Linked DNA regions of Rhinolophus ferrumequinum. The protein of the gene in region 4 binds, or shares a complex with, the protein of the main gene of each other region. Links are inferred from orthologs where the notes say so. Each region holds a gene or a part of one and is shown on either strand. Other genes may lie near its edges. The genes, in order: ING3, VPS72, ANP32E and bromodomain-containing protein 8.

The links.
Region 1: bromodomain-containing protein 8 (region 4) and ING3 share a complex: the UniProt entries of both Homo sapiens proteins name them as parts of the SWR1-like complex. The link is inferred for Rhinolophus ferrumequinum from reciprocal best matches to the Homo sapiens genes BRD8 and ING3.
Region 2: bromodomain-containing protein 8 (region 4) and VPS72 share a complex: the UniProt entries of both Homo sapiens proteins name them as parts of the nuA4-related complex. The link is inferred for Rhinolophus ferrumequinum from reciprocal best matches to the Homo sapiens genes BRD8 and VPS72.
Region 3: bromodomain-containing protein 8 (region 4) and ANP32E share a complex: the UniProt entries of both Homo sapiens proteins name them as parts of the SWR1-like complex. The link is inferred for Rhinolophus ferrumequinum from reciprocal best matches to the Homo sapiens genes BRD8 and ANP32E.

The regions. Positions count from the first base shown.
Region 1 is NC_046309.1:22,924,841-22,931,993, forward strand, and holds the start of ING3 (inhibitor of growth protein 3), read right to left. Parts: upstream 3,011-7,153; 5' UTR 2,873-3,010; coding exon 2,845-2,872; intron 2,603-2,844; coding exon 2,531-2,602; intron 1-2,530. UniProt on the Homo sapiens protein: Component of the NuA4 histone acetyltransferase (HAT) complex which is involved in transcriptional activation of select genes principally by acetylation of nucleosomal histones H4 and H2A.
Region 2 is NC_046305.1:51,233,124-51,239,959, forward strand, and holds the start of VPS72 (vacuolar protein sorting-associated protein 72 homolog), read right to left. Parts: upstream 3,019-6,836; 5' UTR 2,919-3,018; coding exon 2,802-2,918; intron 1-2,801. Other genes in the region: PIP5K1A (phosphatidylinositol 4-phosphate 5-kinase type-1 alpha), read left to right, coding at 6,777-6,836. UniProt on the Homo sapiens protein: Deposition-and-exchange histone chaperone specific for H2AZ1, specifically chaperones H2AZ1 and deposits it into nucleosomes.
Region 3 is NC_046305.1:50,609,264-50,617,243, reverse strand, and holds the start of ANP32E (acidic leucine-rich nuclear phosphoprotein 32 family member E), read left to right. Parts: upstream 1-4,970; 5' UTR 4,971-5,335; coding exon 5,336-5,389; intron 5,390-7,119; exon of another isoform or gene 7,120-7,263; intron 7,264-7,980. UniProt on the Homo sapiens protein: Histone chaperone that specifically mediates the genome-wide removal of histone H2A.Z/H2AZ1 from the nucleosome: removes H2A.Z/H2AZ1 from its normal sites of deposition, especially from enhancer and insulator regions.
Region 4 is NC_046307.1:13,324,642-13,332,310, forward strand, and holds the start of bromodomain-containing protein 8, read right to left. Parts: upstream 3,010-7,669; 5' UTR 2,880-3,009; coding exon 2,861-2,879; intron 2,021-2,860; coding exon 1,924-2,020; intron 1-1,923. UniProt on the Homo sapiens protein: May act as a coactivator during transcriptional activation by hormone-activated nuclear receptors (NR). Isoform 2 stimulates transcriptional activation by AR/DHTR, ESR1/NR3A1, RXRA/NR2B1 and THRB/ERBA2.

The DNA.
Region 1 (7,153 bases), on a different chromosome or scaffold from region 4:
ATATACATGCTTTGACTTGGCGAAAGAAACAATTATCTGATAACATACACTCTTTCACTTGGTCACTAACTTAAATATGTCATGCTTTAATTATGCAAATATACAATGCCTTAATTACCTTCATAAAAAAATAGTTACAATTTTCCCTATAGAACATTTATTTTTGTTGTTATTTCAAAACTTTTTCCAATAGTCAAAGTAGATTCTGAATAGTACAACCTCAGGGTCAAAAACTAATGGTATTAAATCAGCCAAATGTGCCAAACACAATTTCTTACTGAAAGCACCGCTAGACAATTGGCACATTTCTTTTAATAAGAAAAAGTGATAAAAAGATTTTTAACCTCTTGCTATATGGCCTTAAACACCTCCATAATCTCATATCATGTTGAAAGTAGTAGCTACAATCATTTATTTACTTAATACACTATATTATTTATTCTATATAGATTTTCCTTAAATGTGTGCCAAGAATAGTCATCTCATTCCATGTATGCTAAAAAAGGAAAAATAAAATGAATTCTGTTGTTACATAAATTGAGGAAAAGCTTTCTGTTATATCCTTCTCTTGGAGATTTTCAGTTAGTAATAGGTCTTTAAAGATTCTGAGAAGTCTTATGGTTAATATTTTAAAAGTATTTTCCTTTGTTTAAATAAGCATTCCTAACTTACTTGACACAGAGATCTTTTGTTAATACATAATACCTATTAAATTTAGAAAATTCTAATTACTATTAAAAAAATACAAGTTTAAAAAACCTCTAATTTACATAATCTAAGTCCAAAACGCAAGAAAATTTAAAATTTGTAATAATGAAAAGGGATAAAAAAAGTAACCCTTTATTGAATGCCTATTTTGTACCAGGTACTAATTTATCTGTATTATTTTTAATCCTCAGATGATTCTCATTTTACAGATGATGAAAACCCCTCAGAAGTGGTGATGTAAGGTCTGTAAGTCAGTAGAGCCCTGAAATGCACTCAGATCTGACTGACATTAACAATCTGTGCTCAAACCTGTAGATAACACTACTACTTTAGCAAATCTTTAGCATTTCAACTACCTTCAAGTTAAAATGAACTTGGAGAGCAAGCTGGAGAAACACCCAATTCAGACTCCCACACTGCGATCCACTGAATAAAAGAAGGTGGCTCTCAATATTATATTACATTGTATTATGTGCTACATGAAACTGACAAGAATCTGGGAAAGTATATTCACATACAAAGGTATGGATGTGTGTGGGGAAGGCAGTGAAGCAAGGGGGAGAAAACAACAAGCTCTTAGCTAGGTCAAGACTCCCACATTCTGGAATGTTTGGTTCTCTGATCTCTTTTCATGATACTCCTTTCCTCCCTATCACACTCCAAAACCCAGATATTCCTCCACCCCTGCTTCTCTAAGAAGAAAACCTGACAGCATGAGAAACATTTTATGTATAGCTTAAACATAGCTGGAATAAATGGGATCAAGAAACATATCTCCTGTGGATATACCCCACGAAGGCCAGTCATTATTATTATTTAAATAATTTAATTAAGATACCTACATTTCTTCAAGGGAGTGACACACAGCCAAAAAAGTACCCTTGATTATATATTTTAATTATGTAAAATTCATTTCACATTCTTAATTTTAAATATCTGTACAAGGTAGTTGAAATAAATTATATTCACACCACAAAGGCAGAAGGTTTACGAGTGAGGTTTTTTTCAAAACATGAACACAAATCTGGTACTCCTCAGTGTTTCCTTGTTTTAAGTATAAGTTTACTCTAAGTATTTACCTTCTTGTCTCCAAATGCTCTGATTCCATACATTCTCTGAATCATAAACCCTTTTCAGAAACTTCACAGAAGAAAATGATCATATAAACCAAATACTGCTCTACAAAAAGTCAAGTGAGTTCTGGGAAAAAGTCAAGCTATCACTGACAGAAGAAAAGCCAGAATTTTTATTACAGCAGACAGGAAGCTTTACAGTAAAATCCTATTTCCTGCACTCATTTTGAATGACAAAAATATCATACTGTTGACAACAGAGAGTGTATCCTACAATGTATCCGAACTCTTCAAATTTGACACTCCAGGGTCTAAAAAAAGGCATGTAACCAGTGTTTCGATGTTTTCTGCTCTTGAAAATGTTTCAACAGAATGAACTGTAAAAGTGCAAATGCTAAAATCTATGTTCTCTACATAAAGGTTCAAAGCCAGAATTTCAACATTTATGCTGCTGTGCATTAAAACATGTATCTACATTCTCCATGAAGGTATCGGAACGTGTATGGCCCGTTCCCAAATTCGAGAAAAGAACACACGTGCTCTCATGTCTCCCCCTTGTAAAAGCCAGGAGAAAAGTAGCCTGGGAGGCAAGAGGCGGCAAGATTCCAAACTGCAAGTTCCTTTTGACAACTCCTATGTACTCCCAGCCAGTGAGCTGCAGGAGAGTCAACAGCTGAGGGGCTGCAGTCGAAGGCAAGTCAGTCTGACACTGACGCGCGCAGCAAACCAGGGTAAACGCGCCGACTTACTCTGCACCTGCAGGTCCATCTCGCGCATCTCAGTGAAGCGGTCCCGCAGGTCCATTGGAAGCTGCTCAATCACTGCCAAAGGGAGAATCCGTCAGAGGGGCGAGGCCAACGGCGAAAGTACGCGCCTACGTCACTGCGTGCGTGCGTGCGTCGGGGGGGGTCGAGGGAGCCGGCAGCCCACAGCGAGGCTGCCAGTTACCGTGAGAAAGAAACATCCCCCGCCTCCCCCTCCCTCCCGCCATCCCGCCCGTCCACTCGCGCTCTCGCCCGCCCGCAGGTCCCACAGACGGCCCCCGCCAGCGCCGCCCACTCACTTTCCAGATAGTCCTCTAGGTACAACATCGCGGCCTTTAGAGCTGGGGGAACGAGGGGGTCCAGGGGTTTATTTGTGTCACTCGCTGTCGCCGGAGTTTTGTCCCTTCCAATATGGCGCCTCCGCTAGCAGCGCCCGCTCGGCTTCGGCAGGGAAAAAAAAAAAAAGAAAAGAGAAAAAAACCACTTTGGCGCCTGACGGCGCTTGCCTCACTGCCGCCCGGAGCTGTCATTGGTTGGCTGAAGCAATGACGTCAGCCTACCGTAGCCCGCCCCCGCGCTGTTGTGGGAACTGTAGTTCTATTCCCTCCCTAGCAAAAGTGAACACGCTGTCAGTTCTTCACATGGAAACTACAAAAACCAGACGCCACAGCGAACGGTGCGTAACGGAATCTGAAATGCGGTGCCTCTGTTTATTTGTTGATTTTTGCACGGGGCATGACGGGAGTTGTATGCGCCTGCGTAACACAACTAGGAACAACTTTTCACCTGTTCTTTACTGCTGTGATTCCATGCCCCGGCATTTGAGTCTGGATTTCAAGTAGTGCTAGCAAAATAGCAAAGGTTCTAGCGCTAGAATATTCAGCAAAGTTCGGGCAATTTGTACTGTTTCAAACAGAACTCGCTGCTAGAATTTATCCTCACTATCCAATCCTAAAAATACAAGTGGGACGCCTGGTTGGCTTCCACGTAACAATTTATTTTAAGCATGGAGTGAATATGTATTTCCCATATTAAAATATGCAAAAATAGTCCTCAATAGCCTCATATTCTATGTTGCGGTCCGTCTCGTCACGCTAATGGAATGAATCTATACGTACAACCTGCACCCGCAAAACAACAAATACCGAGCAAGCAGAAATAACGGATAGAGCCTTAATAGTGAATGGGCTGTGCTAGCAATAACTTTAGATTATGTTGAGTAAATAGCCTTTGTTAGACGTCTGTAGTCCTGTGCGTTGTCTTTTTCTACCTTTTGACTCCTCCCCGCGAATGTTCACCCGTGACATAGTCCTTCACTGCTTAGTTTTTCTCTGTCTTAACTACGTTGACACTCAGTACAGGTTGGGTGTTATTTTCCACTTAACTCTCTTCGGGTTTCGGGGATACTTGTCTTTAGTTCATAATTTAATGTTCTATTTATATTTTTCATTGGAGTTGAAACACTGCATTTGTGTTACCTGCTTCACCCCGCCTTTACATTTTCTTGTTCTCAAGACTTTTTCACCGCTCTTAATCAGGATACTTACCTGTCATATTAATGAACCCCAGAGAAAACTTAACCCTAATAACGATGACATCATTTAGTTTCTATACTTTTATCTAAAATCAGTGCCTTAAGTTTTCCTCCCACCCTCCCTCTCCTTCCTTCTGGCTGCTTTTAAGATCTCTGATATTGTCGCAGTTTCACAATGATCAATACAGATATGATTCCTTCCTTCCTCCTTCTCTCCCTCCTTTCCTCCAGCCCTCCCTCCCCCTCTCTTTTTCTTTCCTTTTTTTTTTAAAACCATACTGAGTATTTGAGAAGATTCCTGAATCTCAGTATTAGTGTCCTGCAACAATTGTAGAAAATTCTCAACCGTTGTATCTATAGGATACCTCTAAGATAGAGAGCCTCTGTTTCTCTTAAACTTTTTTCTATATGGTCCACCTGGAAGTCTTCAAACACTTCATTTTTAGAAGTTCTTTTTGGTTCTCTTTCTGAGTCATTTTCTAATTTCTTATACAAATTAAGCATAATCTATATTCTGTGTCTGTGAAATTCAATGCTGAGAATTTTATGGGTCTTTTGTGCTGCCTGCTGTTTCTTCAAGCTTTTGCTTATGGTGCCTGTTTCGGTGCAGGTTGTGATTTTGGACTCTGCATGCATGTTTCTGGGCTGGTAACTATGGGGATTCATTGAGGCCCGAGTAAAAAGGGAGTTTTCCTAAAGAGTATTAAAATTTGCTTCAGCAAGTTGCCTGGAGACACCATAAACCCTAGAACCAGATGAAGTTCTCCACTTCCGGTTTATTGGATTGCACAAATAGATTGAATTTGGGTCTCAAATCTGAACAGATTTTATAGATTCTCGGGAGACTTCTTCCTTTCCCAAGTTCCAAGGTCAAGATGGGCGTGTTTCCTTACTGACCATCAGGTTTCTTTCTCAATCACTCTTACACTGGGAATGTAATCCTTTGGGCCCCAGAGTTTTGTCTCTTATTAGACTCCTCCTTTTTCATGGGTCCTTGGCTTTATTTCCTGACCCTGGCATCTGCACAGCTATTAAAGCAGGAATTCAAGGTGCCCAGAATTTGACTGATAATCTCGTGGCAAAAGTCACATTGACCCTCCCTCATTTCTCAGGATTTTCTTCTCATTTTTATTCCTTCTTTTTTGATTTTCCCCCTCTGAGCATTCCTTCATTTCCTATCAGTTCATCAATGTATTTGATTTTTTTTTAACCCAGCATTTTTTGTTTTCAGCAGGTGGCTCAATCAGAGTAGCTAACATGCAATTCTGTCAGAAATAAAAGAAATGGAAGTCCATCCTTTCAGTGTAAACTGAGCTGCTTCAGGGAGTTTTTCATACTAAGGAAAATGAGATAATAGATGGTTCCCAATTCAGTGAACATGCATACACACTGTAGAGAAACTAAACAAATAACAAAACTAAACACTACATATTTTAGTTAATGTAATTCTTATTCTTGGACCCTGTATCAGCTGCAGAAAATTGTGTATGTACACACGTGTGATAGCTTCTTACATCATTAGGTCAGATAGTAGATAGCACTTGGAGTGTCTACTTACTTAACACCCACTACTGCCTTTCTGGGCCAGGCCCCTCATATACAGGAGTGACCATATCTGTTACATTACTGTGCTCCCTGATCATAATGCATTAATTTAACAGGGACAGATCAAAGCTGGGCATACTAGATGCACTCTCTTTTGATCTGAAACTGGAATGTGGAGACGTGGAGACTGACGGCGCTGTGGCAGAACTGCATTCATTGCAGCACAATACATCGTGTGGTCCACAGGCTGCTGTGCTGAGATCTACCAGAGCAGCTCTAGGTTTTCTTCCTTGGATTTTTTCCCCTTTCTCTGTCACCTTCTCTAACATTAGTTGTATCACCTCCAGAAAGTTATTTTCACACTCTTGGCCTCCATTTCCTGATCTGTAAGCTGGAAATAGCAATAGTAGCTAAATCATAGGTGTGTTAGATTGAAATGATATCATCTATGCAGAGCACTTAGGTTCAAGTATGGTGAGTGTCACGACACAATAAATGTCAGCTTCTAGTACCATCCTCATTAATGCCATGAAGTCCCCTCCTCAGTTACCCATATTCAAATGCTCCTTCGTGCTGCTCTGAGCTTTGCCTTGTGCCCCTGGTCATTCTGAGGCTGGACTCCTCCTAGACCCACTGAAGATTATCTCACGTACAACAGTTGTATCGCCACTGTCATACTCCATTCAACGGAGAAATGATCCAGGGAGGCTCCGTAAGAGTACTGCACTGAGGGCTACTGGCTAAGGAGGAGGAATCAGAATGTAGGGAACAGATGCAAAACGTGGATGCAAAATATGAGTGTTACTAAGAGTCCAAGAGAAAGGAAAATTGAAATCCTTCATATAGCATCTCCTCAGGGGAAACCTTGGCTTTACGTCTTAAGGTTCTGCCACTTTCCTATTGAAAATATTCAAAACTTTGAATATTCTCGTAAAACTTTGAAATGAAATATGTTCTTAACTTTGTGCCAGGCAGTGTATCCTCTCTGACAGACCTCTAAAACATGGGAAGAAAGAAAAAATGCGGTCTTTACATGAACCGCTCTAATTTTACATTTTAAAAGTCCATTGAGTCACTCACTGGATCAGTTATAAGCAGCAGGATAACAGCCTTCACTTTACATATCTATGAATGTTCCAGGCTTTTCTACTCCTCATACCCACTAAAGAGACGTCTCTAAGGAAGGCTGTACTTTGCAGACCTGGCTCCTGGGTGTTTGTGACAAAGAATATGGAGAAGAGGACAAAGGGAAAGAAGACAAGTGACTAAGGGGTGGAGAGTTAAGGAGATTTTACAGAGGCGGTTGTTATATAGGGTTTAGTGGGTGGCATATTGAGAAAGGATGGATAACTGGATATGAAGCCATCACAAAATCTTTCCTTCAAAATAAATGGAAATTCTGGAAGACATATAAGAAAAAAGCTTGAAACCAAGAGAAAAATATCCCAGGTGCCAGAAATAAACAGTAAACTCCACGTTGGAGCTAAAAGAACCAGAGTGTTTATAGGCCTTTACTGTTGAGTCTTGGG
Region 2 (6,836 bases), on a different chromosome or scaffold from region 4:
TTTTCTGTAAAGGGCCATATCAGAACAGGTAATGAGCCAGATCTGTCCAGTGGTGTGTCGTTTGCTGAACCCTGCATTAGAGTGTCAAGAATGAAGAGAGCTTGGGCCATGTTGTAAAATACTGGTAGTATTTAGACAGGCAAGAGGGAAGAGGGAACCGTGGGCAGATGGAATAGCGGCAACAAAGCAGGACTGTGGATGGCACGTTCACGGAATAAGCATTTAGACCCAAGTAAAGCAGCTTTATCTCTGGCAAGGAGTCTCCCTAGCTGACTGCCTTTGGCTTCAACACAGCCTCCTCTCAACATTAATAGATTGTCCTATAGGTCTGTAAGATTTGAAAGGAAGGTTGCACTCAATCTATAGAGAAACTTAAATGTCAGGCTAAGAAACATGATTTTAACTTGCAGGCCGGTGCTTCTCAATCCTCTCCCTCTCCTTACTTGTCCCAGCGTTGATAATCACTGTTGAAGCAAACTAAAGTCACTGACAAATATGTCTCATCACTGAGATACAGGTCTCATTCCTCAGGTGTGTTGGGACAAAAAAACAACAGTTGGGTACTACTACGATGTATAGTGGGGAACCACTGAAGATTTGAGGGCAGAGGGAAACTGTGGGTGCGGCGTGTTGTAGAAAGCTCTGGAGGTGATTAAATGGGCTGGAGTAGAGAACATGGAGTACAGCCTAGACTTGCGGTGATGCAGATTAGGGCTAGATGGCAGCCACGTTGGAAAGGAAAGCACAAGAAAACAGTGGGGGCAGGCAAGTCGACTGGGTGGGGCGGCACCTCAAACACGTGGCTCTCTCTTCAAACAGTGATGCAGGCTAATGGGCTAATCTTTGCACACACGCTGCCAAACCAAGCAAATAAGAGACAGCTGACACTCCAAGCCAGCCGGAGTTCTATCTTGCACGGATGACCATCATTTCCTCCCAAGTGATGTCTGGGGAACAGCCTGGGAACACGCTAATCCCCTCAGCTCTAACCTGGTATTAAGTCATCTCACCACAGTCTAGGAGGTCAACTACACATTAGCTTAGGGCCTAATGGAAATGCTTTCACTCGGTTACGGATTTACTACCGTTCCTTTGGCTTTCATCGAGGGTCATTAATAGACATGACTAGGTAAGACAATGTTTTTACATCACCTACCAAACCCGTTACTCTATACGTCTTATATAAGGATGCGATTCTCCCTAGGATTGAATGCTGAATAAATCTGTGTCTCTTAAAGAACTTATATGCTTCTTTCTTACTAAAAAAGAAATTCAGGGTTTGACTGCCAGGAAACTCACAGCTAAATTTAATATCAATTGCTAGGACCATTTCAGCAAAGGCTCCTGGTACAATTACTTCTGATGTGTCTCTATTTTTGCTGTTCCTACTTTTTGTTTATATCGTAAGCCTCCTTAAATCCTTTTTGGAAGCATGATGGGTACATATTAAATAACGACTCGTAAAATGACAGGAATAGGAAAATGGCTTTTGGAAGAGGGATGAGAAAGTTCTATTTTAAACTAGCTGGTTAGGGCTATGTACGTAATGACTCTCCATCAGTCACCAAGTCCTGTGGATTCTGTTGCCTTGATTTCTCTTGAACCCTCCTGTCCATGGGTCTCTGCTCACACTGCCTCTTTCAAACCATTCTCCTCATCACAGAGCAAGCTTCTAAAGTACCAATCTGATCATCTTCTCAGTCCTCTGATGAAGAGCAAAATTCCTTAACAGTCACAAGGCCCTACACAATTTGGCCTATGCCTCACCCTCCATTCTTGCCAATTTTATTCTCCTTCATGGTCTGGAGAATCAGAGTAGATGTGTAGGTTCCAGGCCAGTGCCACAAACATGTAACTCCCTGGACTAACCTTTCTCCTCCGGGCTCCCAGGCCTACTGCTCTTCCTCCAGCCACGGCCTACTTGTCACACTGTCCTCAGCTTAAACATCATGTCCCGCAGAGATACCCATCTCGACCAACAACTCTGGCTCACATGTGTTACCATGGCACCTTATGCTTCCCTTATCACACACTATTTTAACTGACTGTTAACCCAGCGAGGTCGCCCACTGGGGTCTGGAATACAGAAGGACAAAACCGTGTTTTTAATAGTTCCCAGAGGGTTTACCACAGCTGTAGGTACTCAGCACATATTTAAAGGACGGATAGGTTCAATCAATACAGATCTCACGAGTGCCAAGCCAATCCGGACACTGGGCCAGGCACTGGGTTGCATACTGTTGAACAAAACAGACTATCTCTAACCTCACAGCACTTACAAACTAATAGGAAAGTATAAACAAGCTAAGCAAACCTAATTACAAAGAGAAATACGTTCCATGAAGGAAATAAATGAGGACACTTTTTAGGGCAGTCAAGGAAGGATTATCTTAGGAGACGTTTACACTGAGGTTTGAAAGCTGGAAAAGGAATAGGCTAAGCCTACTTTGGGGGGAAGCTTCTTTCTATACTTCAGATGCAAAATCAGCAGTGGGCCGACGAGGATATACCGCATGTCTACGAAGTGCCTGTCGCGTGCCAGACAGCAGAAGCGCGCTGAGAGATGCCACTAGAGGAATAGGAACACAGTGGGTTTCTGCCATACTCCGGGGTGCCCCAGAGAGCTCCTCTCTTCCTGCCCCGTCTAGGACTCCTATGCATCCCCCCGACTCGCCCACTCCGTCTCGAGTATCAACTGACAAGGCTCCGGTCTATTCCCCGCCCCCTTCTTTGTCCGAGGTTTCTCCCTTCAAGACTCCTCTTAGCTTTCTTCCCTCCCTCTTCCTGGGCCCAGCTCTTGCCTCCGTGAAACCCCCATAAGTCGTCTGGTAGAACTCATCTTCCTCCTCTGCCTCCAGGAGCCCAGAAAGCCGGTTCCCCGCGGTCTTCCGAGGGGCCCGGCCCCCAGCCAAACTCATAACGCCTACCGAGACTGCGCCGCCACCAGCGGCCCCTCACCCAGCGCGGTTCTCGGGGCTCGGCGCTCGACACCACTACCTGCGGGGGGCAGGCGGCGGCGGCGGAAATCGGTCGTCTGCAGGCAGAAGCAGCAGAGCGTCGAGGGGCTCCTAGTCCCGCCCCCTAGGCCAGCCCCGCCCACTCCTGCTCATACACCGCCCCCAAGCTCCCTGACCTGCGCGCAGACCTTGCCTATGGAATGATTCGACTCGGTGACACCAAGAGCCCCACTACTCTAAGTCCAAATTTGGGAGTCAACAAATTTTCATTTAGAAGAGGTCAGTCTCATTCTGCTCCAGTCCGTTTTCCACTCTGCTAGTAGGAACCTTTCTAAAAACCGAGATTTTGTCACTCTTCTGCTCAAACGTCTTTAATGGACGTTATATACAGGATAAAGTCCTTAAGGCGGAATAGTAGTGTGGTTAAAGGTAGAGCCTTAGAATCAGCCGGACCTGAGTATGAGTTTGAACTTAGGTCTTCTAGCTGTGTGACTTTGGACAAGTTGCTTTATCCCTCTGAATGTCAGTTTTTTCATCTGTAAAGTAGGACTAGTAATAATAACACCTACTTTGGAATGTTGTTAAGAAGATTAAGAGATATAATCCTTTTAAACTGCTTGGCACTGTATTTAGTGAGCTCATAGGTGTTTAGTAGGTGATAACTATGGCAAATATGGCATTTAAGAGCCTTCATAATTTGTTAATAGCATCTTCCTGCCTTTCTAGCCTCATCTCCTGACACATCATCCTATTCTAGCTTCACTTCCCTAACACCCAATTCTCTGCCATGTCTCCTGCTTTTCCTTCTTCTTAGAATCCCTTTCTTTTCCTGTCTATCTGGCAAAATTCTAATTGTACAGACCAGTGAAGTCTTCTTGCACACTCATTCCTTTTCCTAGAACAGTTCTCATAATCATGGAGATCATACCTCCTTGATTCTCTAGAATAGTTCCAATCTCAAAGAGTCTGTGGTATTGTCTAAGCCTCTGTATCAACTTCTCTTCCCATTTTTTTATTCTGAAAGTATGGTTGTCAAACCATAGCACATGCACACACTCCAAGACGGCACCTATTACATTTTATTCTAATGATTTATGTTTCTGTCTCTCTCATTAGTCTATGATCTTTTTGAGGGTAGGGACTTTATCTTCATCTGTGTATGCCAGGAAACTCTCATAGTGGGACTAAATAATTTTAACGAATGAATTAATGAAGGGCTGTTTGAATAAATTAGGTAACCATCCTCTTATTTTGCCTCTGTGTTGATCTTGGCAGCCCCTAGCCCATCCATTCTGACCTTAGGAACTGTTCAAAGATATGAAGGTCACTTTAATAAAGCTGGTGTGTGAGTGTGTGTGTGTGCTCTATTTCCTTCAAATCTGTATTCGTAGCCATATTTTGAGATCACGAAATTGTCCCCCTTTTCCAAAGTATATATTGGTGAACTCCCTTTTCCGTTTCCTTGGAGGCAGCAAGCCAACATGTCCTGCTCTGCCCCTCCTTCCACACCCTGCCACATCATTGAAGACCTGCTATGCCCGGAATGTTACTGGGCAGAGTGGCTCCATGACTCAGAGCATCCTGGGGATTGAGTGGGAGTGGGGGCAGAGACAAGGTTTGGGGAGAAAAGATGGGAGACACCCCTAGCCCAACTTTAAATGTTGCCTTCATTCATTCATATAGTCAAGAGACATGTGTTGGGCACCTACTCTGTGCCAGGCACTACTCTAGATCCTTGAGATATAAAAATAGATAAGATGTAGTCTTTGCCCTGAAATGTTCACAGTGTTATGAGGGAAACCAACAAGTTAACAGACTGACATAATACAAGGTGGTAGAAGTAACAGTAGCCATTTTCTGGTATAGAAAGGAGAAACAAAGACCCCTAAGAAGCTGCAAAATAAGGATGGATCTCTTTTTTCCGGAAGGCTGAAATAAATTTCATAGATCCAATCCCAGGGAGAAAACCCCATTTGACCTCCTGGTAAGTCAATTATTTGACTATTTCCAATTTAAAAATCAGAAACAGCTTTATCTCTACACCGGCTGATTTCTAAAATAACTCCAGAAATGATAGCAACTCCATGCCTTTTATGGAAACAAGGATAATTTATTCAACAAATATTTATTGAATGCCTATTAGCCAAATCGTATGCTAGATGGTGTGCCCACACCTGTCTATTTTTTGTACTGTTTAATTGGGTGGGGGGTATAGATGTAGGCAATCATAAAATACTTCAACACTACACAATTCCTCTGCTTTGGAATTACAAATGGCAATCCAATCATCTCAGTACCCAAAGGAGAATGAATAATCCAGCAGGTGGCAGCAGGGAAACAATTATTTTACATCTTGACGCTGGAGGGGTAGAAGGTAGAAAGGTCAATGCCTGGGGATAGTCTCTGCCTGGTCAGGTCCTAGGTTCCCTTTTGAAGACCCAGAATATATCCGGATAGAGGATAAACCAGGCCATCTTAGGGTCTACCAAACCTAGGATTTTTTTTCCATTTTCCTTCATTTATTCATTCCACAATAATGAAAGAGCCCCTACTATATGTACAGAGCCACATCAAGAGAGGAGCTGAAGATACAAGGGTAAATCAAACTGGTTGCTCTCCAGCAGTTTAATCTCTTCAGAGAGACACAGTCAGGTCTTCAATCTCCAACCGAGTTCACATCCTCCAGGGCACTTTGTTAAAACTGAGTAGGTACGAAGACTAAAATGGGGATATGCTCTGTGTATCTTCCATCCCTTTTGGAGCACAGATAAACGAGAGTTAGAGGCCAAGGGCTCAGAGCACGGGAAGATTGTGATATGGTTTGATCACTTTCCTTTTTGACAGGTCATCATTTATCATATTTACTGAACTCTGTCACTGTGCCCAGCATTGCGTTTGAGGCCAACGAAGTGTAAGATCTGTTTCGAAAGTCATTCAGAGGAAGGCAGGACACGACATGCACGCACGTTAAACTAAATAGTAAACAAAGCAGTAAAGCTGAAAGAATGCTTGGTGGCATGTGATATTTTGCGATAGTCGACTGCTTAACCTCTCCGACTTGCCCCTGGCGCTTCTATCGGGAGTTCTTCCCTGGGCTGTGAAATTGACAGGGCCCGCCAAGCCGACTCTCATCCCTATCTCAGGCGACGCAACCCAGTCCTTTCAAAGAGCCGAATGGAAATGGACCCACCGAGCCACCGTCGGGGCAGTCTGCGCCCCGGGGCGCGCACGTCTTCAATCCTTGGATTCGTTAGGGCCCGAGGGACCTGCGTCACGTAACTAGTCGCGGCCTCCGGATTGGCTGTGACCCTCTCGGGTCCTCCCTCCCCCCCCACTGAGTGGGCTGGAACGCTGGGAAGGCTGGGCGCATGCGCAGTGCCTGGATTTCACTGGCCGCCCGGAGCGGTGGAGTTGGGCGATAAACAGGCTGTGTGACTAGGGAGGAGGGGGAAGGGGCGCTCGCTCCGCGGGGACTTCTCACGCCCCCTTATTCCTTTACGTGTGATTTGGTCGGGACGTGTGGTCCCGGCCGCCGGCTTGAGCCTACTCTCTTGTGAAAGGGTAAAGTAGCTCTGGCGGAAAGCGGTTCAAGTTGCCGAGAGGGTGCGAGACGCGGGTCGTCCCCCATGCCCGCGGAATGGTGTGTCCCTGAGCTGGTCCAGGAGCCGGCCCGACGTGTCTGAGAGAGGCCCGGGAGGGGGCGGGAGGGGGCCCGCAGAACGCGGGTTCTGTGAAGAGACGTGGGGAAGATTCGACTCCGAGAAGAGGAAGAACCGGATTGAAGGGGAGCGAGGCCGTGAGGGGGAGGGGGCTGCCAAGATGGCGTCGGCCTCCTCTGGGCCGTCGTCGGGCGGGTTTTCGTCGGTGGATTCCGGGGTT
Region 3 (7,980 bases), on a different chromosome or scaffold from region 4:
AAAGGGACCGGCCAGGTGGCTCAAGTGGTGGGAGCGCTGTGCTTCTCCTGCCGAGGTCTTGGGTTCGATTCCCACATGGGCCAGTGAGCTGCACCCTCTGGAGCTAAGCTGCCATGAGCTGGGCTGCCGTGGGCTACCGTGTGAGAAGCTGGTTACAACAACGGCTTTAATAGGAGTGGGGAGTGGGAGGCGGAGGGGGGTGGCGCAAGAAGGGGGGAAAAAGAAGACTCAAGAAAGAATCTGTGAACTTAAGATATATAAATAGGTCAATAGAAATTCTCACCTTGAGAAGGAAAATAAATAAACAAAAAACCAGAACATATAATAACTATAGTGCAGTATTGAAAGGTGTAATGTATATGTAATTTGAATAACAAAGGATAAGAAAGAAAATGTAACAGGAATATTTGAAGGATTAGTAGCTAAGAACTTTCCAAACATTAATTATATAAAGCAAACCAGGAACCTAGAAACACAGAGGACATCCAGCAAAGATAAATTCAACCCAACCAACTAACCAACCAACCAAAAACCACTTTGATACGCCATATTCAGACTATAGAAATCTGAACAACAACAACAAAACTTGAAGGAAGCCAGAAAAATCCTAGAATTCTATATTCAATGACAATTATCCTTCAGAAGTGAAAAGAAAATGGCTTCGTTGAAAATCAAAAATTGAAGGAATTCATTGTTAGTAAACCTGCCTTAACAGAAATAAATTCTTCAGACAGCTGTAAAATGATATAGACCAAAAACGTACAGGAGAAGGAATAAACGAAAGAACAAATAAGATGTGAGTAATCATGTATGGAAGCTTGTTGACTGGTAGACTGATGGTGAGGAGATGGCACAGATATCTGGCTACTTTCTACCATTTTGTGAGTATTTCTGGACTTGTCTCAGGCTGATCAGTTTCTTTAGAGAGGAAGCCTCTAACCTTTTACCTGAAGGCACACCCCACTTTAAGATGCATGGAGGAGACAATGGGGTTGGTTTGGGAGAGTTCTCATTGGTTGAAATACAGATTTTCAACTTTTCTGCCAGTTTTCATTACATCTAGCCTGGTACATGTAGGAATGATTTCTGGTGGTTCCAAATCATTTTGAATTCTGGAGAAAGTGTGTTGGCATTAGTTGCACTGCCATAGATTTGTCTTGAGACTGCAAATTAACTAGTTTGGAAAAGGGAAAGGTTAAAAAGTTAGGAGAAAGAACAGTCTGGAGTTATCCTTCACTCTCACTCCATCACCTGTTCCCCAAAAAGGCATCAACCAACCTCTATATTTCCTAATGGAAGTGTGGAATTAAACTGCCAACTGAGCGTTATTTGGTACATAATCAATTACTAAACATGAGTACCCACTGTGTGCTCAGCACTGTGCCAAGTACTGAGAGAAAACCAAGCTACGGACTTGGTTTCTCTCTAGGAAATTTCAGTGAGTTTGGGCGAACCAGAATTAAATGACATGTAGAAGATGTGGCTAGGCAGCTCAGGGCAAACGCTGGGTGAATAGAACATTTAATAAGTCTTACGAATTTGGAGAAGGTTAAATGGTTTTGGTTAAGGTAGAAGAACAGCATAAGCAACGCTAGAAAGAGCAGAATGCCTATGACTTGTATGGAACAAAATGGCTCTGGTGAGACTTGATCAGAAAAATTGTTCTAGGGACTTGTTCCAGTTACTATTGCTGCATAACAAACAACTCCAAATTTAGAGGCTCAAAACAGTAATGATCATTTTATTACCTCTCATGGTTTCTGTGAACAGAAATTTGGAAAGAGCTCAGCTGGGTGGTTCTGGCTCAGGATTTCTTATGTGGTTGCAATTAGACAGTGGCTGGAGCTGGAAAAGTAGGGGGAGGAGAAGCTGGGGGCTGGGTGGGTACCTCTCATTCTCTTCACAGAGGCTTCTCCCTGTGATCTCTCCTATACGTTAGTTTGGGCTTCCTCAGGGGGTAGATCTTTGGAGAGGGCCATTGTCTCATGTTGGGTTCCTCAGGAAGTAGACTCTGAGATGAAAATAGCATTCAGAACATTTATTGGGGGGATGATATTGGATTCAATATCTGTGGAAGAGAGGAGAAGAAAGCTGGATGAAGCAGTGGGAGAAAGTGAATGGCAATGCAGGCCCCTGGGGGTGCTCTGGAGCGCTGATGAATGACCCCTCAGAGTTAGTCTAAGTTGGGGCAAAGGGCTGGCCGGGCCTGTATATCTCTGTGTTGAAGGAGGTCTAACCCTGGGCAAGGCACTTTTCTTCAGCTGAGGTAACCCCCTACAAGGGCCGACAGCGGAAGGTCATCCCGGCACTGAGGGGAATCAGTTCTTCATTCCTGAAGGAAAATCTGGGTCGTGCATTTCCGTGTCCACCACAGCCCTGACTAGATCGGTGGCTTTCAGTAGAGGCCCTCCTGTAACAACCTGCCACTGAGAAAGTTGGGGGGTGAATACTCCAACCTCACTCCCCTTCAACCCCCCCCCCCCACCCGTCTCCTGCCAGCCCTCTCCCCCGCCCCCAAACCCAGCAAGTCATAGGACTCGGTGGGGTTTTGAGTCACAGAGTGAAGAGTGGATCTGGCGGGCAACAGAAGATATTCTGCAGCAGAAGATGAGTTTAGTTTTTGAAACTTAAAGACACATCGAGTTAAAGAATATCCTGGTGAACGCTTCTTATTGGTGGATCAAAGGCATGTTCTGAACCACCCTCTTACTCATTCCACTCCTTGCTCCTTTGCTTTCATACCACCTCCTGATTACTGAACCTCACTCTTGGTTCTAACATTTAAACCCTGCCTCATTACTTCCTTTTAAAACACGTTCTAGTTCATGAGTTCGGATTTTCTCCTGACTGCATTTCATTCTTTCATCCCTCATTTAGTTCCATATGTCCATGTACTAGCCTGGTAACGTTCTTCATCCAACCTCTTCTCAGTCCTATGGGGAATCTCTCCTCCCCCAGCATCTTGTTTATCCTGTCTTCTTGATTAAGATTGGAAACAGGTAAGTTCCAAGGTCTTGAGGTAATGCAGATGAGAGATGATATAAAGGCGGGGACACTAGGTACGGGGAGAAAGGCCCACTTTGGTAGACCTTTGTCTGTGCTTACTATGGTGTACTTTCGGAAGCTGCTAGCCAACGGTAAAACGAATTCATGGCCTTTCCTCACATTTAGTATTTCCAGCACCCTCTCCATTCTGTCTAATGTATTCCGATACAGAAGCCCTACCATTTAACCCCAATAATCACCTCTTGTTGAAACTCTGTCTTCCATACATTTTTCTCCCCAAATTCACCTCCTTATTTATTACCTGTTTCTTTGACTATTTTGGTAGACAATCCCTGTCTTCTCTTTTTCCCCTCAACCATGTTTTACTCTCTTTTGCCTGATAGTCTTATATACATGCTTTGTGGGCGTCTTATTTTTTTTCTCATGGCCTCAACTATCACTCGTATCTGGATGACTCCTAAGTCTGTATGTACTCCTTCCCAGAACTCTCTTTGGGATGCCATTCCAGAGTTCCAGACTCTGCAGTGGCGGTGGGATCAGAACACAGGACTTCTTCTCAAGCTGGTACTAAAATGGGCTTTCAGGTTTCTTTTTAGCCCTTTTTTTCCTTCCCTTGTTTTTCAACTCTTCCTTGAAATGTTCCTTAATCCATTTTGCTTTAGTTTTTATATCATCCTCACTTCCTTTAGCTTGATTAAAACTAACAAACTTAACTAACTCCAAATCGCCCCCTAGAGATGTTATTTCATTCCAAAAGCTTTCCCTCTCCCTGTTTTCCTCTTCACAAAATTTCCTTTCCAGGGAATTCAAAGGAAACAGCAAGGAGAAGGCAATGATTATTTTGTTTTCCTTTAAAGTAGTTAACATGCTAAATACTAAATATTTATATTTTAAGCATAATCCTATTTGAGGAGCTGTGTGTCTCTGTAGGGGGGCAGGAGGCGTGGTGGTGGAGTGGTTAGGAGTCTGTTGGTAAAACCTAAGGTCTCCAACCTGAGAAACTGGAAAAATAGCAAATACTCAGCTCTGAGAGGGGTTAGACTAATTCACCCACTTCCTTCCCCACATTATATGGACTGTCTTTGGGTATTTATCCTGATAATGGTGTAAGAGAATAAAAAGGACAGAATTTAATCAAGAGCTAAGAAAAGTTAGGCTCTCAAGACAAAAATTTTAAAAATGATTCTTACCCTGCTCTTTTCTATCCCACATTGACAGACTTTTAAAAGCACATTTTATCTGTAGACTTTCATGGAAACCAACCAAAGGGAAATTGGAGAGGTACTGCAGTACTATTTATATGCGAATCGATGTCTCATTTTCATTAGACCGGTACTGTTTTTCCTCCAAGGTCTTATTGTTCATTACAGCAACAACTACCTCAGTAACAATTTGTTTAAAGGTGCCTAACTTATACTTCACACAACTGCTTTCAGTCCTTCGTGGGTGGAAGTTAAAATACCGTCTTTATTTCGGCTTTGGTTTTGGACCAGAAGCCTGTCCCCAGCAGGGCAGTGTCACGAAGGCATGCTTTTTATATGACGTGCACGTTGCTGTGCACCTTGGCGGCAAAGCAGGAGCTGTGCGTGCTGAGTTACCAGTATCGCAACTTGGGCACGTAAGAAGTATGCTTTCTGCCTGTAACACTAAAAACAGAAAAACAAAACCAAACCCAAAAACAAATCAAACAGGCATCAAAACCGCCCTCGTGCCTAGGGAAAGCGCGCCAACCACACAAAGAAAAGGAGGGGGGCTACTGGGATTCAAAATCATTTCTTCCGGACGAACACCCTCCTGGACCTATCGGAGTTAACTGCGCGCTTGGTCGTAGCCAATAGACACAGCGTTTCTGGTTCAGGTCCGCCCTCAAGACTGATAGACATTTGTGTAGTCCAATGGAATAGTGTGATGCTGAAGAAGTAACCAATACATTCGGGAGGTGGGTGGAGTGTAGGCCAGGGGGTTGGCGGTGCCGTGTCATGGAGGCTCAGTCTCGGAGCAGCCATTGAAGGGGAAGGAACTGCGGGTGTGTGTGTGTGAGTGTGTGTGAGAGTGAGTGTGTGTGTGTGTGTGTGAGTGCGCGCGCGCGTGTGAGTGCGCGCACGAGTGTGTGGACAAGGAGGTGGGGGCAGCCGAGTTAGAGTCCCAACTCCTTGGACTCCATTTGCTATTCTCTTTCTCCCCCACACCTATCTGGTGGTGGTGGGCGTTTATATTTGCGTTTCTTTTCATTCATTTCCAAACCTTTTACAATTTGAGGGTTGGGGGTAGCAGGAAAGGCAGGGCAGGGTAAGGGAGGAGAGTAATAGCAGAAGAGCAGGAGGAGGACATGGAGATGAAGAAGAGGATTAACCTGGAGTTAAGGAACAGAGCCCCGGAGGAGGTGAGATGACTCAGCCCCCTCCCCTTCCCCTCCAGCTCTGTATTCGGGGAATCGGGTTTCGGGGGGTCCGGGTGGGTGTGTAGGGAGGGGTAATTTATCAACCCCAACGTGGGGTTAGGGTCGGGGGGAAATATTTAATTTGAAGTTTTAAATCATTAAAATCTTTTACTTAAAATGGCGAAGGGTTCAAGTTTCTAGGGGCGTTTTTGTGTGTGCATGGGGGCTTAGTCCCTTTCACCTCTCTTGGAGTCGGGCGTCTTGGCCTCGTGGGGGCGGGAAGCAGGGTGCTGGGGGGCCCTCCGCTCCCCAAGTTCCTCCTCCTGGGGGCGGGAGGCGTGGGCGCGACCCCCCAGTCCCACTCGCCCCTGCCGCAGCCATCGTTGCCTGAGAAGTTAGTCCAACTTTTCTTCAGTGCTGCTAACAACTTTTTTTTTTGGGGGGGCCGCCCCCGGCCTCAAGGCCCCTGGGCGTCGGGCGCGGGCTGGGGTCGCTCAGGGAGCCGGCGACCACCCGCTGCCGGCGGCGCCCACTCCCCCGGGAAGGGCGCGCGCCGACCGCCGCCAGGCGGAATCTGGGTCAGCGGCCGGCTGTCCGGCCGCGGGTAAGTTTTGGGACCCGTCGCAGTAATCGGAGGTGGGGAGGGGACTCGAGGCGTCATCCCCTTCGTCCCCCCGCGAGGTAACGAAATTCGGCGGGTCGTATCATGTCGTGGTGGCCGCAACTCCGAATTTGATCCCTGGAAACGGTTTCACAGAACTCAACAAATGGGTCGTGGTAGTTGTGTGCTTTAAAGATGGGTTCGGCGAAACTAAATGATGCGCGCTCGCTGCTGTCGCTTTAGTTAAAGAGACGGGGTTGGGAGGGGCCACGTGAGGCGGGGTCGCGGTCGACTTTTCGGGGGTCGGGCGGGAGGCGTTTCCGCCTCCTTTCTGAGGGCGCCTCCTCTGCTTCACCCAGCCCTTCCCGTCCCGGGCGGAGGCGCCTGGGGAACGGCGGCTGGAGGGCGACCCCTATTTTCCTTGGGGAGTCCCCGCCCCGTGTGGGGTTTCCCGTCGGTCAGAGCGGCAGGTCGCCAGAGTGGGGCCGGTGACCAGCGAGGAACCTCACACTTCTAATCGCAGAGGCGAGCGCCTAGAGTCTTGCTAATTGCGGCCTCTGAGTTAAACCCCAGAATTGGCATATCAGGGATATAATTGTTTTCGACTTGGGTGGAGGCGGTGCCTGTGCATAGCAGCATAGAGGATGAGAAGTAGGGTCTGCCCAGTGAGCCGAGTGGGAACCCAAGATCTTTATGTGCTTAAAAAAAAGTTTCCCAGAAATTGGCAGGAGCAGGCAGGAGGAAACAGTCGCTATCATACCAGAGAAAGCTTGAAGTTTTCTAGGCCCTACCCTTTAGGGGCTTCAGAAAGAACAAAACTGAAAAGGCTGTCTCTCAGAAGCACACATTTAGAATGCTTTTTTATGTCTTCGTTTGGAAAAGTGGATTCCCCCTGCCCCATTCTTTTACCCACCCCATCGTGGTATCTTCCTTGCCAGTTTTGGGGAGTGCCACGCGTTGCTTTTTTGCAGCCTCTCCTTCCTCCCCTGTGGTGTAATAACGGTCTCTTGTATTTGCATAGCTCTTTACAGTTTACAAAGAGCACTTTCCGTGTTTGTTATTCACTTTCCTCCTTGAGACAAACATGTAAGGTGGATTGTATTGTTCTAGAATCCAAATTAATGGAGTCTCAGGGCCTGCAGTTATTTACTCAAGTGGAAGAACTGGTTTTCTGACACCAAATCTAGTGGCCCTCTCGCCTTCACTCAGCTAGACCAGGAGTCAGAAGACTTAAAAGAGTGGAGGCCCAGCTCTGCCACATACTGTGTGACACCAGGCAAGTCATTCTCATCCTCTGGGCCTCGGCTTCCTCATCTCCAAACAGATCATGATGCCATCTGTGCTCATTGAAGTCATTATGTCAGTCATTTTCAAACAGAGAAGGTGGCATTCCTTGTTGCTAATTTTTAGCCCTGAAAATACTTCAAACATAGTTTTGCATTGGGAATGGAGAGTCAGGGTCTCCTGCCCCTCTCTCCCTTGCTTAAGTCCATTTAGGCCCACACCAGAAAGTTTTGTTTTACAACTCTGACCTAATAGAGAGGATCCAGCCCCTCCCCACCAAGAATGGGGTGAAGTCCACAAAAATGCTACCAGGATGGCAGGGAGAAACAATAACATTTTGTCAAGGATGTATTGTTCTGGGTGAACTGTTTGGCCTGATACTAGAAGAGTTAACATCTGAAAGCTGGGCTGTCTCAGAAGGAGCTTCTAACATTTCTTCACGAAGGGTAACAAGAAAATTTTGAGTTATGGGGGCATTTATCAACCAAAGATAAGGGGGTTTAAACTAAAACAGTTTCCTTTCTTCTCCCTACTGTTTCAGGAAAGCTCCCTTGCATCCTTTTCCAGGAGCCCAGGTACTAAATAGGCCCTGATGTTGAGAATCCTTCTCATCAGGGGCACATGGGACCTTTTTCAAAGTTGTATTTTTTATGCATCAGTGATTTGAAGCAGGCATTAAGCTTCTTAGTCCAAGTTTAAATTTAAAAGG
Region 4 (7,669 bases):
AACCTGGTTGGTTTGTTTAAAAGAGTTCAGTTTATAATGGGGGGGTGCCCAAAAAACGTATACACATGACTTGTATTCATCTTTTATCAGTATATATTGAATATTACAATTTTAACAAATTTCTTTCTTTCCTAAAATGTGTATACATTTTTTTTAATATCCTCTGTATTTGAGTTGATATATTTAAGTACAATCTGAGATTTATCAAATTAGTGTGATTCATTTTTTCTTGGGGTTTACCATTTATTTTGACTCAAGAACAGCTGCTATCTAGAATATCCTGGTTTCATCTTTGAAAAGTTATTTCGTACATATGTAAAGTCGCAGAAATGCTAACTGTGACCAGTAATGGTGATTTGGAAACTCATCTGAATGGTTAAAGAAGTAGAGATACACCATATAAAAGCAATGTGTACATTAAGTAATTATAAGGCTTAAAACAATTAAAAAGTGTCCTTAGATCCTTAGAAGAGGGGTGGGGGGGAGAGAAAAATGTTAAAAATGAAAAAGAATATATGTCCTGATAGCAAAAAAGATTGGAAACTTACTATCTGGTACTTAAAAAGAAATATCTGGTACTTAAAAAGAAATATTGGGGGGCAGCCGGTTAGCTCAGCTGGGTAGAGCGCGATCCTCGTAACACCAGGGTTGCTAGTTCGATCCCCGCATGGGCCACTGTGAGCTGCACCCTCCACAACTAGATTGAAACGACTACTTGACTTGGAAGTGATGGGTCCTGGAAAACCACACTTAAATAAATAAAAGTTAAAAAAAATAAATATTGGAGTGTCAAGACAATTCAATAGGCAAAGAATAGTCTTTTCAACAAATACTGGGTACTGGGACAGTGGATATCTACACGCAAAAGAGACCCCTGCTTTGGAATATACACAAAATTACCTCAAAATGGATCAAAGATCTAAATGTGTAGAGCTCAAACTATAAAGCTCTTAGAAAACATAAAAATAAATTGTTTCTTAGCTATGACACCAAAGCACAAGCAAAAAGAAAAAATTGGACAAGTCAAAATTAAAAACTTCTGTGCTCTCAACGATACCAATCAAGAATGTGAAAAGACACACAAAACAGGAGAAATATTTTCAAATTATCTGACAAGGGATGTATGTCAGATAATATATAAAGAATTCTGAAAACTAAGTAATAAAAATAAGTAATCCAAAGGATCTGAGCAGACCTTTCTCCAAAGTAGATACACAAATGACTAAAAAATACATGAAAAGATGCTCAACAACATTAGTCGTGAGGAAAATGCACATCAAAACCACAATGATATATTTCATATCCACTAGTATGGCTATAATCAAAAAGACAATCATGTTGTTTAACATACAGAGAAATTGGGCCCTCATTCATTGCTGGTGGGATTGTAAAATTGTGGGGCCACTTTTTGCAGTTCCTCAAAAAGTTAAACACAGACTTACCATATGACCCAGCAATTCCACTCTTTTAATTCAGAGACTAGAAAACATGTCAGCACAAAACCTCATACATAAATGTTCATAGCAGGATTAATTATAATAGTCAACAAAGTGGAAACAACCCAAATGTTCATCAACTGATGAATGGATAAACAAAACGCAGCACACCCATACAGTTATGTACTTATCAAGATTTCATTTATATAAAATGTCCAGAATAGGCAATCTAGAAAGAGAAAGTAGATGAGTGATTAAGCAAGGTGGAGAGGAGATTGTAGAGTGACTGATGGTTGCACAACTCTGTGAATATACTAAATTCTGCGAATCTACTGGGCTAATTTTATAGTCTGTGAATTATATCTCAATAAAGCTGTTAAAAGTAGTAGTGCCTAAAGGTAGTATGATTAACCATAAGCTTCCACTATTATAAAAAAACCCCAACAGTTTCAAAGACCCAAGAAATCAGGCATCCTAGATACATTACCAATTTTGATCTCCACTCCTCATGACAGAAGACGCTAAACACAGCTTCTCTCGGATGGACCATGGTTCTGTGGGGCCAGTACTCAGCAGCTTGTGTTCTGAAAGGAGAGAGGGCTTAAAGGCAACCACTGAGACACTAGTTCTAAGCCCCAAAGGGAGACCTAAACACCTAATACAAAACATCCCAATTCGTACGGACAAAGTGAGCTACTATCATCAAATCTTGATTTTTCACCTCAGATGTCAGATTTAAAATAAAGCTGTACTTCCCAATGGTCCAGTTTTAAGAATACGCACATACTTTATCCCCATTTGAACGCAAGGGTTTTTTCCCCATGATTCCCAGCGGCCACTGCCCTACTGCCCCGCCTCCTTCTTAGCATAAACTTGTTTACTTGTTTCAGCAATTCACCACCCCCCACCCCCACTTTAGTCGTCGGGCCTAAAAGACATTTTCAATCCATGAAACCGAGGAAAATGGCTGAGATGCAAGAAACGCAATTTCCCCAGTGGCAGAAAGGGCTCTTGGTTAAAATATCCCATTTCTGTGGGAGACAGGGTACAGGCCTCACAAACGTTGGTCAGAATATGAATGGCTCTCGGATATGTGGGCCGCTCCGTACGGCTCACAACACGTCTTCGTCTGCACGCCCGAGTCTTCCAGAGCACCTTTGTCGCTCACCCCATACCGCTCCCAAACATACAAGGATTCGCTGAGCTGCTTCTCTCAAATCTCCGCGGCCTCCCTGAGAAACAAAACCCTACAGTTCCGGACGCCCCCAAACATTGGCCTTCACAACGCCGACGAGCGCAGGTCGCTGAAGACCATGGGCTCTCTGGCAAATCATTTCTCCTACTCCCTAAGCGTGTGACAGAAATCTAATGCCTGGCCTCGGCTCTACAAAGGCCTTCCACGCAAAAGCAGCGCAGATACTTACTGCCCGTTCCTGCCGCCATCTTGGCCTCGAAGTCTCCAACCCTCGAGGAAAGACGGCCTGGTAAGGCGGAAACCCGGAGGACTCTGGGCAATAGAGTCCGGGCGTTTGCTTGCGCTGCTTCCTGGGAAATGTAGTCCCCACCCTCCACCCCAAGTAAAACAAGCCCCGTAAACCAATTCTCTTTTGCGCTCCTGGGAAGGAATGTGCTAAAGAAGGACAGAGGATGGCGGCTGAAGCCTCAGGACTTCCTTTAGGGTTTTTAGCAAAGAAATGCCTACGGTTCAAGAAAAAGTGTTAAGCGGGAATTCCAAGTGCCCCAACCCCAAACTCCAACAGTTGGTAACCCGGACCCACTTTAGAGTTGAGAGGTCAAACCGGAATAAAGTTTCTTCCAGTCTCGCCTGCCCCCTTTCCTTGTGCTGATTGGTAACTGCAGTCTTCGCTGTCTGATTGGCGGAACGAACGCAGCGCGTAATTTAAAACATTGTATCAGTAACAAAGGTACACTTCGTGGGGGAAGTTGTGCTCTCCTACCGCCAAAACCCGGGTTCCGCGTCGGTGTGTGAGTGGGCTGGTACCAAAGGAGGAATAAGTGTCTCGTCTTCAGGTGAGTGTGCGACTGTGCTGGAGCCCAGCTGGGGTATTAATTCTTGCCCTCATTGAATAGGCTTTCAGAAAGCCGAGCTGCCGCCATTCCTTTTTTCTTAATACCTCTGTCCTCACTGTGGGCCTGGGGCGAGGCTGGAGAAGGAGCCTAGGGCTACTGACACCACCTCCACAACACGGGTAGGCGAGGCAACCCTACTTGGAACATGACCTGCTTTTAGAGCCGTATCTGTTCATTCCTGTTAGAGGTCGAAATGCCACCTCAGACTGGATTAAATGACTAACTCCTTCTCTTATCCCCTTCCCCTCTGGTAGTTGAAGGGAGAGGAAGTAGGGATTCAGGCAGAAACCAAAGTGTTCTGGGGCAAGGGAATTGTTTCTTACCTAGAATTTTCAGCCTCTCTGTCCCTTAAGGTCCTCCTCCCTACCCACTCTTGTCTCTTTTTAGACCTAAGCTCCCCCTGCTGTCATGTCGCAAGGGATCCTTTCTCCGCCAGCGGGCTTGCTGTCGGATGAGGAGGTCGTAGTCTCCCCCATGTTTGAGTCTACAGCTGCAGATTTGGGATCTGTGGTACGCAAGAACCTGCTGTCAGACTGCTCTGTCATCTCCACCTCCCTGGAGGACAAGCAGCAGGTAAAGGAGTTGGAGAGTGGCTTGGGGGCAAAAAGTGATATCCTCAGCCTACTAGTTGTCTATACTGAAAGTAGTATAAGGTCACTAGCTACTAAAGGGTCTAAGAGATCAATTCAAAATTAAGAGCATGACAAGTAAAAAATGTAGAATTGTTGTCTATAAGAACTGTTGTTTGCATTGCATTAATGAAATCACTCAAGTGCATATTATCAGTTAATCCTACGAGGGAAGGATGATGGTTATTTCTCCTTCACCACGAGGCCCAGACACCAGATCATACTTCCATTAAGTAGGTGGAATGTACAGTCAGGCTTTAGTATCAACTGTAGCTTCTATTTGTGGAGTCTTTCTGCTAGGCTGGGGTTTCTCATTATTGACACTTGGGACCAGATAATTATTTGTTATAGGGATCTGTCCTGTGCATTGTAAGATGTTTAGCAGCACTCCTGGCCTCTACCCCTAAATGTCAGCACCTTCCCTTTTGTAACAACCAAGAAACCTGTCCTGACATTGCTAAATATTCCTTGGGAGGGAAATGGCCTTGATTTGAGAACAACTCTACTTCGGAAAGCTCCTCTTTTATAGAGAAAGTTTCATGAGAGCAGAAGCCTTGATAGTGTCCCTCACTGTGGACTACCAGAGCCTCTTAGAGTTCCTGGGCCATAGTAGGCAGATCTCTAAGTATCTGTTGAAAGAATGAGGTGGGTGCTGTTATTAAGCCCATCTACAGATGAGGAAAGTAAGGCAAAGAATTCAAAGAACTTGTTCAAGTTTCTCATAGTTACTAAATGATGGGATTTGGACTCAATTCAAGTGTGTCCTGCCTCCATGGTGCTTAACTACTGGAATATCATATGCTGATTTTCATCCCAGTCAACCATTTCTAACTCAGATGATGTGGCAAGCCAAGGTTTTGCAGGATACTGAAGAGACAGGAAGGTGATAAAGTAGTGAAAAAGTCCATGTGAGTTGGAATGATTATGGAACAAAAGTGTAGCTGCTGCGGAGACATTTGAGGTGGAATGAGGGTAGCGTTAGCATGATTCTTAGGAACTGCTTATGCTTGCCCATCTGCTCAGAGATAACTGCTGAGATTAATCTAGTAGTTCCGCCCTGGAATTCTGCATAGGTTCCATCTGAGGATACGGAGAAGGTGAAAGTATACCTGAGGGTCAGGCCCTTGTTACCTTCAGAATTAGAACGGCAAGAGGATCAGGTGAGTGTCTGAGGAGGAGGATTCAAGCTGAATGATGCAGTACAGAAGGTTTCCAGGAATGTTTCCTTCTGTGTCAACTGTTTTCTCCCCCTTCTCAGGGTTGTGTCCGTATTGAGAATGTGGAGACCCTTGTTCTACAGGCACCCAAAGACTCCTTTGCCCAGAAGAGCAATGAGCGGGAATTGGCCAAGCCACCCACAAGTTCACCTTCTCCCAGGTATGGAGGTACTGGTTGTGGACAAGGGACCAACATGTAGGGCAGCTTTATTCCCTTTAGAAGGGAAGTTTTTATTTGATTGTTAACTCCTTATATGTGCATGTCTATATATTGGGGGACCCTTGTTATAAGCTAGTCAGTGTGACAAGTACTTTATGTGCATTAAGTCACAACTCTATTATTTTCATTATTGTCCCGATTTTCCTAACAAGGATACTGTGGCTCAGTGAAGGTAATGTTGCTAAAGCCATGTAGCTAGTCAGTAGTAAAGACTTGACTCTATTAGGTTGGTGCAAAAGTAATTGCAGTTTTTGCAATTATTTTTAACCTTTTAAACCGCAATTACTTTTGCACCAACCTAATAGATCCATCTATCTCCAAATCCCATGCTTGTGACTATTATGTTGCCCATTTTTTGTGTAGCATTGGACTTAGTTGAGAGCACTTCTTAAGTATTTGTTAATTTAGATGAAAATGGACTGGTTGAGTCCTCAGTGCTTAGGGAGCAGCTGGCAGCTCTGCAGGATGAAGCTGCTTGAGTATTGTCCAGAGCCAACCACCTAGGAAGAGATGCATCTGCTAGCTCTGCACAGGAGGCAAGTGGGAGATGAAGGATGGGCCTCTGAGAAATTGGGTCTGTCTCTAGATCTTTGGGCCAGAAGTCGGACAATCATCCTTCTTCAACATGACTGTGAAGGAGATGGTAAAGGACGTACTCAAAGGGCAGAACTGGCTTATCTACACATACGGAGTCACCAACTCAGGGAAAACCCACACTATTCAAGGTGAGTAATAGGTCCTCCAGGATTGCTGATTGACCTGTAATGATACAGTGGTACCTCGGTTCGAACGTCTCCATTGACGAACATTTCGGTTTACGAACGCCGTAAATTTTATGCACTTATGGTATCATTAGATAGTAAAATTCATGCTTAATTTGCAGTTTTAGGGGTTGATTTTAAAGGTCTGGAATGGATTAATCCATTTTGCATTATTTTCTATGGGGAACCCATGCCTTGGTTTTCGAACGTTTCAGAACTCGAATAGTCTTTGAAATGGATTATGTTCGAAAACCGAGGTACCACTGTATTGTCTTTGCTTTCTGGTGCTGCCAGCTGAGGGAGAAAGGCACTTACCTCAGCTATCCATCTTTCACATGCTTCCAGGTACTGCCAAGGATGGAGGGATCCTGCCCCGGTCCCTGGCTCTGATCTTCAATAGTGTCCAAGGCCAACTTCATCCAATACCTGATCTGAAGCCCTTGCTCTCCAACGAGGTAATCTGGCTTGACAGCAAGCAGATCCGGCAAGAGGAAATAAAGAAACTGGCCCTACTAAATGGAAGCCTCCAAGAGGTAAAGTATTAGTGTCCACAAATGAGGGGATGGGGGATAAGTCTCTGGAAAGTTTTGTACTTATTTTCTCCCTCGGCCCCTCAGGAGGAGCTGTCTACCTCCTTGAAGAGGAGTGTCTACATTGAAAGTCGGGCGGGTACTAGCACCAGCTTTGACAGTGGCATTGCTGGGCTCTCCTCCTCCAGTCAGTTTACCAGCAGTAGCCAGCTAGATGGTACGTACCATGACTGGGCTCTATGCCAAGTAATAATAGAAACCCACTCCCTGCTCGCAACAGCTGCCAGGGGTACAGGTCAGAGGTTGCAACCTGAGCTCTGCCTGCGGAGGCCCCTGCAGGCCAAAGGGAAGGTGGACTACTCTATCCTGTACATTTGCTTCTTCCCCAGAAACAAGTCACCGATGGGCACAGCCAGACACTGCCCCATAAGTGTCCCTGCAGACATTCGCTTCTTCCATCTGGATTTCCTTCTTTGAGATCTACAATGAAACTGCTTTATGACCTGTTAGAACCACCTAGCCAGCAGCGCAAGAGGCAACTCTGCGGCTATGTGAGGATCAGAATGGCAATCCCTACGTGAAAGGTATGGGAAAGCAGGGAGGCTGGCCATGAACCCTGGAAGGGATTTTGGGAGACCAGGAAAGGTTAGGTGCTCCCATCTTATGTATGTTCTTCTCTCCTTGGTCTCAGATCTCAATTGGATTCATGTTCAGAATGCTGAGGAGGCCTGGAAACTCCTGAAAGTGGGTCGTAAAAACCAGAGCTTTGCCAGCACCCACCTGAA